Linked DNA regions of Schizosaccharomyces pombe. Changing the gene in region 1 together with any one later gene gives a genetic interaction. Each region holds a gene or a part of one and is shown on either strand. Other genes may lie near its edges.

The links.
Region 2: of hsp3101 (region 1) and glo1, extra expression of one rescues a mutant of the other (dosage rescue), as found in Schizosaccharomyces pombe (one study listed by BioGRID).

The regions. Positions count from the first base shown.
Region 1 is NC_003421.2:46,540-50,410, reverse strand, and holds hsp3101 (glyoxylase III Hsp3101), read left to right. Parts: upstream 1-1,909; 5' UTR 1,910-1,935; coding exon 1,936-2,670; 3' UTR 2,671-3,086; downstream 3,087-3,871. Other genes in the region: SPOM_SPCC757.02C (epimarase), read left to right, coding at 3,499-3,871. UniProt on the Schizosaccharomyces pombe protein: Catalyzes the conversion of methylglyoxal (MG) to D-lactate in a single glutathione (GSH)-independent step. May play a role in detoxifying endogenously produced glyoxals. Involved in protection against reactive oxygen species (ROS).
Region 2 is NC_003423.3:2,444,447-2,448,543, reverse strand, and holds glo1 (glyoxalase I glo1), read right to left. Parts: upstream 1,988-4,097; 5' UTR 1,847-1,987; coding exon 938-1,846; 3' UTR 687-937; downstream 1-686. Other genes in the region: gfa1 (glutamine-fructose-6-phosphate transaminase), read left to right, coding at 1-53; vacuolar amino acid transmembrane transporter Fnx1, read right to left, coding at 2,620-4,097. UniProt on the Schizosaccharomyces pombe protein: Catalyzes the conversion of hemimercaptal, formed from methylglyoxal and glutathione, to S-lactoylglutathione.

The DNA.
Region 1 (3,871 bases):
AATCTTTGTAAATAGCGTTTGAAGAGCAAGCGTTCACTATCCATGTGGCTCATTAGTCCAAATACTGAAATAAAAGAGGTTAGCCGACAGTAATGAAATTAATCTTCGCCGTAACCGACATTCCTAAACTTCACTAAATAAATATCGACTTGCTAAGTATCGTTAACATATATGATTAACAAATGTTGGTACTAAAATTTACGCATGGTTAATGTTTGAAATAATACTAGCAGAGTTTATTCCTAAAAACCTCAACATCAAAAACGCTTAATAAAAAGTAGTTTAAAAAAATTTATTTATTACCCTATTTTTTTCTTACTAAAAGAGATCTAAATCTGTGAAAGTCTACTTTTCAACATCAAGAAAATGCACTTGTGCAAAACTGCTTTAAAGCGTAAACAAACGTTGGTTAACTAGTGCAATAGTAAACAATGTTTTCGTTTTCAGAATAATTCTTTTAATATCAAATGGGATATATGGAAACACAATAATGTCCTGAATAGCTCACGCAAGAAGCAAATGAATATGTTGTTTCTCCAGTAAAAAATGGGATACTCATTATTTACGTTTCTCTAGTATCCCCTCAATTGAAATGTATATGAAACAATTAGAAACCACATTTAATTAAACACGGTAAAGACCATGGCAAATTCAATTGTAGTATATTTCCGCATATACGTTATCCACACAGTCGCCACGATTGTTTAGTAGGTATAAGTTACGAATGAGTGTAAGAGAAAGAACGAAATACAAATTTTTGCAAGCAAGGAACACATCCAGAACTTTCAATATTTTATTGGGCAAAATATATTCTCAATCAACTGTTTTTATGTTTCAGTAGACAATTAAAATACAGTTTCTGTCAGCTACGCTGTTTGGAACCTGTTTAACGATACATAGAACTGCGGTGAGTTTTATTTGCGACCTACAATATAGCGGTATGCAATATTTAACTAACAATGTATATTAATTGTTATATGAAGTCTATTAGTATCGGTGACCATATAGCTAATAGCTAATAACTGAAATGAGAAACGAGGGTCAATTGTAGCTCTATTTATAATCTTTCTAATAGTTGCTATCTATGTAGATAGACAGATAGTTTATCTGTGCTTTTCACTAATGTGTGGTGCAGTAGTATCTTAACATATGACATATAGTGATACGCAACGCAGTGTATTATAGCGCAATGTAAGTAGTTGACATCTTATCTTTTTAATGATTTCGAATATAGAGGCGTTGTTGGTATAAAATTATTCGAGCTCTAATCTAAACGTAAAACAGTATAACGTGGCATACTGAAGAGCAAAAAAAGAAAAAATATAATTAAAGTTGCGGTTGGCGAGTGTAAATGAAAAAAACTTAAACCTCTTATTTTATCTGAATATTCAATAAACTCCAATTGAATAGATCAAATTTACAGTTGTCTTTTGAAACGAGCAACATTCTAGCTTGGTATGTTCATATAGTAATAAAGTACTTTAAAAAATTTCCGTTCACAATCATAGACTACGAAATTTTAATTACGCATCGCTCACAATCCTAAAACGTATGAGGAAAATCATGATGATAATTGAAACTAGCAAAAAGTCCTTGAAGCAAATCTCTCAAATCAAGATGAAACTTATACACTAAACAATACAAAGAGATTTGCATTTTCTCAGTAGCGATCGCAATGTCCTTCTACACAATAGAATAGAATTGTGCCGAAACCACTTTAGATTCAAACGTATCCATCTGATTTTAAGATGAATTTAACATCATATTGACACAATGCCCTCGTCACTCTTTCTATAGAAATCCAAGAACCTGGTAAATAGATTACGTGAGTAGTCGTAATGGAAATTCATCCCGCTTTTGCAATTAAGTGATGTTTTTTTAAAATTTGTTATTTATTGAGGTGAAGCTGCAAAGATCACCCATTCATTATACACCATGGCATCAGAAGGAAAAGTACTTCTCGTGGCAAGCAGTTACTATGGACCATTTTATCCAGATGGAATGAATACTGGAGTTCACTTTGCGGAACTTTTGATTCCCTATCAAGTTTTCAGAGAAGCGGGTTATGAAGTTCAACTAACTTCAGAAACAGGAAAATGTAAATTCGACGACCATTCAATCAAAAAATCTGCCTTGGGTGAAGTGGAGAGGGATGCTTTTGACAACAAGGATAATGAGTTTTGGTATGCGCTGAAGGATATTAAGCCTGCCGATAAAATTAACTACAAAGAGTTCTGTATCATGTTTATTGCAGGAGGTCATGCAGCCATGTTTGATCTACCACATGCCACAAATTTGCAAACGCTTGCTCAACAAATTTATGCAAGCAATGGTGTACTTGCTGCCGTCTGCCACGGTCCAGTTATGCTGCCTTTTGTAGATGACACCAAGTCACCAGAAGGACGTTCCGTCGTATATGGTAAGAAGGTTACCGCCTTCAATAGTACTGGAGAGCTTGTAATGGGTGTATCAAGTGCTTTGAGAGAAAGGAACATGCAAGATCTGAACAGCTTGTTTAGAGAAGCCGGTGCAGAGTTCGTTGACCCGCCTACCCCGATGTCCGATTTCACTCAGGTAGATGGAAGAATTGTAACAGGTGTGAATCCAATGAGTGCTAAATCTACAGCGGAGGCTGCCATAAAAGTTTCACAATCTCTTCGCAAGACATGAACCATCCATTTTTGTAACGATTCTTTTTTTACTCTACCTGCTAAATGCCTTGATGAATTCGACATTGATGAAAGCGTATAATTGATGGCTTCAAAGATCGATCATTAGTTTTATTTCGATGACTAAGAGACGGTTGTAAATAGCAACTTGAGCTTTAAAGACCAATATTAATGACACTTAAATTTCTAGAATAGCGAGAGTTAATAGTGGAACAATTTATTGTTTTTGTTAGTAGCTGGATTTTATTGGATTTATTTATTATTTCCTTTTTATTTTAGATTGTTAGTTTTTGAACTAATTACGAACAGCTTGTGAGGTTTCAAAAATGACTTTTAACCATCCAACCAAGCAACCTTCCAAGCAACCTTCCCATAAAGTTAACAGTTTATAGTCAGGTGTTCTAAAACAATTAGATAAATATTCATTGTTATGTTTTTCCATCAGTCGCAAGGGGCATCACTGCAATGGTGCCTCGATTTCTCTGTATTCAACTTGCTTGCTAAGCTCTAACAGCGTCCCTACATATAGTCAGCATTATTAAAATACCTTTTGTATTTCATACCTCAATCAAATATGACCATACATACTTGCAACATCATACTGTTATTATCACACCGACATGTGTTCACTAGCTATTGTGAATTTCACAAACTAGAACAAGTCTATAGTATGGATGATGTTACTAGTGATATAGCAAAAGTGAATGAGATCATAAAATTTGGGTATAAATTAAAGCATAAATGCTATATATATATATATATATATATATATATATATATATTTCATATATGCGAGATTTCTTAAAAGATATTCAAAGTTAGAAACACAATGGCAGAAGAAGGTTACGTGGCTATAGTGACTGGGGCAACAGGATTAAATGGTGCAGCTATTATTAAGAGACTGTCAGAGGATGATAATTGCAAAACTATACACTGTATTTCTCGTTCGTTGAAAGATGAATACCCTAGAAAAATCAAGCATCATTCCATAGATCTGCTAAATGAAGAACCCAAAGATATTGCAAAAAAGTTTTCTCTCGAGGGGGTTAAGGGAATAAATTATGCATACTTTGCAGCTTATAAAGAAGAAAATAATGAAGAAAAGTTGTGTGAAGTTAACGGTAACATGTTGAGAAACTTTGTGCAAGCATTAGAACTTACTTCCATTCAAACTTTGAGACGCGTAATTCTAACCACTGGTC
Region 2 (4,097 bases), on another chromosome or scaffold:
GCCACAATGTTGATCAGCCACGCAATTTGGCTAAATCAGTTACGGTGGAATAAATTTGATTATCCCTCATTGTTTATTATTATGTGGTTTTTACGCTTCACGTCGCTTGTCATGTTTTTGGCATCCTTTAAGGGGCACAAGCCAATCTTTTTGTCGTTCATTAAATTAATAGAAAAGGATGGGTTGCCGGTTCACGAGGATGTACATGTGTTTATTTCATGGAAGATATTCTTTTTATATGCATTTTTAATTTAATCTGATTTAGTTTGCAATGAAGGCATAGTTGCTTAGTTTTGCAGTGTATCAGATTTTTTGTTTTGGTTTAATGTTATCTCTTGGAAACTAATGATGGTCATTTAACGAAAACAATGCTGCATAATTGGGAGTTCTCATATTGAATATCAATTCATGATTATGCTCTTTTAAGTTGATTTTGAATGTGGAAGTTTTGTAACTATATCGTAATAATTTCTGTGCTTCTATTAAATTACGTTTCTGCAACTGCAAATGGAATATTTGAAAACTTATTCTAATATTCCTATATTGCTACTTCATCATGAAGTTGTTGCTATAAAAATTACTCTAGTTTGAGGGAGGGAACCCAAATCGTGGTTTCTTCCTATAGAATGAGTGTACAATTACAATAGTGATGTACTAAACGTAATTTCCTACAAAAAAATGAGTAAGTTCTCTTCTTTTACTTTGTTATTTTATTACCCGTTACAAAGATATTAGGGTTGATTCTATTTCAATTCCTGTCCGAACTGAAGGTAATGGATATCGAAAATCACTAAATGAAAAAAAGGAGAATATAGATACTTAAATTTCATAGCGAAAATAATATATTTCTACCTCAAAAAAAAAACATGTACTAAAAATTCTCCCCACACCACTTTCAAACATAATCAACGTTTCTAAAAAGACAAGGCGTCACTGTTTACTTCTGTTCAATGACCTCAACCCAGTAATTATCAGGGTCCAGTAAGAAAGCAATATCCTTCATTCTGCCATCGGTCAATTTCTTCTTGAATGGTAGCCCCTCAGCTTCAAATTTAGAGCAAGCTGCATTAATATTGTCAACGGAAATACAAACATGACCATAACCCTTTTCATCGCCGTCATTGCCATTATGGTAAACGGGTCCTGACTCCTTTTCAGTACCCCAGTTATGAGTCAATTCAAGTAATCCCTCACGATCATGTCTGGGCAAGTCGCTAGGATAGGCCAAGAAATAATTGGTGAACTTACCATTGGGATGATCCGCTTTGTCAATTACCTTCATTCCAAGTTTCTCATAAAAGGCGATACTAGGTTCGGGATCCTTAACACGGACCATTGTATGATTAAAACGAAAGTTAGAAATATTAGCTTTGGGCTTAGTTTCAGATTGAGAAACAAGCTCAATCCAGTAATTGTCAGGATCCAAGGCAAAAGCGATGTGTTTCATCTTACCATCGGAAAGCTTTTTCTTAAAAGAAACCCCCTTGGATTCCAAATATGCGCAAGCAGATTCAATGTTATCAACAGTAAAGCAGATGTGTCCAAATCCTCTCTTAGGCTCGGTATTACCATTGATATAAACAGGGCCTTCCTTCTTCTCAGTGCCAAAGTTATAAGTCAGTTCCAATATACCTTCACGCTTACTACGTTCCACTCCGTGATTTAGAGCTCCAGGTCCATCGAAAGCTAAAAACGACAAAGAGAATTCATTTTCCTCGAAAACCCATTGATCAATGAGTTTCATACCAAACACCTCGGTATAAAATTTGAGACTCTTGTCGAGGTCTTTCACACGAATCATAGTGTGATTTAGTTTGTAAGTACTCATGTCAGTAGTAGAAGCCATATTCGTAAAGAAGATACCCGTTAAGTTGTAAATTTATATATATAAACTTATAGCAACGTTGTTGACGAGGATGAATCAAAAAACTGAATATAAACAGCAAAAAGATTGATGTGTATTGAAGCAGAAACACAAAGAAATTTCAAGTTTAAAAAATTACCGAAGTAAGTTTATATCAATGATGTGGAAGATGCTAACCAGTAGATTTCTAAAGAATTGATGTCATGTACGAGTCCATTGGCTTTCGTTATAGAACTTATAGATTTATATCACAATATCGTTATTAAGATTTACGTGCTAATGGGGTATGTGATAATAATGAATCTTCAAATTGCTAAGTATATAGCTTTCATTGTAAATAAAGAAGAAATTAGTATACAAAGAGAATATCAGCGTTCTGATTAGTCAATTTTACATTAAAATATTATGAAGAGAAATAATTTAATTAAAAAGAGAGAAACAAACCTATCTGTAGCTAAACAATCGTTTGTAATCCAATCTGTTATCATAATTAAGTCTCAAAGTGTGCTCTCTCTGATGCTAGTGTAAAGAAGGATACACAACTTCCTCAAAGCAAAAAATAAAATAAAATAAAATATTTAGCGAATCCGTTTAAATATGATAGTGGTGGAACCTGAAGAACAATATGACTCATCACCATCATGGAACTCAAAAGTATATAACATAAACTTGTAAATAAAATCTAAATGTAAACAAAAATCTGATATGACTTATCTACCAATATGTAGAAAATCAGAATCCCCTTAGGATATAATTTATGAACGATCAACAGAGGTATGTAAATAAAACTGTTTGATCCTCAGCGAGCACCAGAATCCAGCAAAAGCTATAATTGCAACTAAGGCAAAAGTCCATGTGAAAGCAGTGGCATACGACTTTATGACTAGCTTTTGGATATCTTTGGGGAGATTTGGAATGATGCTTATACTTTCTCGAAGACGTCGAATCAAATCATCTTTATCCGGATCGTCCTTTAAGTTGGAGGCTAACTGCTTCATAAGGATTGAAAGAGTTGTTGTTTGGGAAAGACTGATACCAATGACGCTACCTGTTGCACGGAAAAGATAGGAAAGGCCTGTAGCAACAGCTTGTTCTTCTGGGGCTAAAGAACTGATAATAGCAATAAGGGTAGAAGTTAGGTTCATTCCATAAGAACATCCGGTCATTGCCAAACAGAGAGAAATTAATATTAAGGGTGTTCTGTGACCGAAAGAAGTAAGAACAGCAAAGGAAACAATACCCATCAACATGAAAAAAAATCCAGCAATAACCAAATTTCTATACCTGCCAGTTTTCTTCATGTATAAGCCTGAACAAAGAGATCCAACAGATGTGGAGATAACGTAAGGAAAGATACGAACACCGGCCTCAGACGATGGCATTAATAGCGTCGTTTCGAAAAATAAGGGTAATTCGTAGACAATGACAAAACTGCAAAACGCATTGAAAAAGTTACCCAAACAGACATTCAAGGGAGTAGGCTGAGATAGGATCTCCACAGGCGCAATTGGTTCAACAGCAATATTCTTTTCGACCCAGTAAAATGCGAACAAAATAAGGACAGAAGATACAAGCAAAGTAATGATAACTGGAGAAACCCAAGGAAATGCGTCCCCGCCCATGTTAAAGGTAACTACCAGTGCCGTAATGCCCGTTACAAGAAGAAAACTGCCTAAGTAATCAATGCGTGAAAGCAACGATGCATTGGAATTTCGAACGGTAGGTTTAACGCGGACACGCCAAGCAACTAGTATGGTGGATAATATTCCCATAGGGACTTGAAAATGAAACGCTGTTCTCCAACCCCATCTTTGAGCAATTAACCCACCCAATGGTCCTCCCAAACTACCTCCGATACCCCAAACAATGTTAGTTATACCTTGCCAGGTACCACGTTCACGCAATGAAACGATGTCACTCGAAATGATGGAAGACATGGTACCAAGACCTCCACCGCCAATGCCGGCGAGAGCGCGAGCCATACACAATTCCGGAAGACTTCTCGATATACCACACCAAAAAGTTCCAAGCGTGAAAGCAGCATTTGCAAATACAACGGTAGGGCGTCGTCCAAAGATGTCACTAAGTCTACCATATAAAGGTTGGAAAGCGGTGTTTGTAATTAAATAGGCGGTAACAATGTAGGAAGCATTATTCATTAACTTGAATTCACTACCAATTACAGGGTATAAACTTGCAACAATTGTCATATCCAAAGCAGACAAGAAGCCAC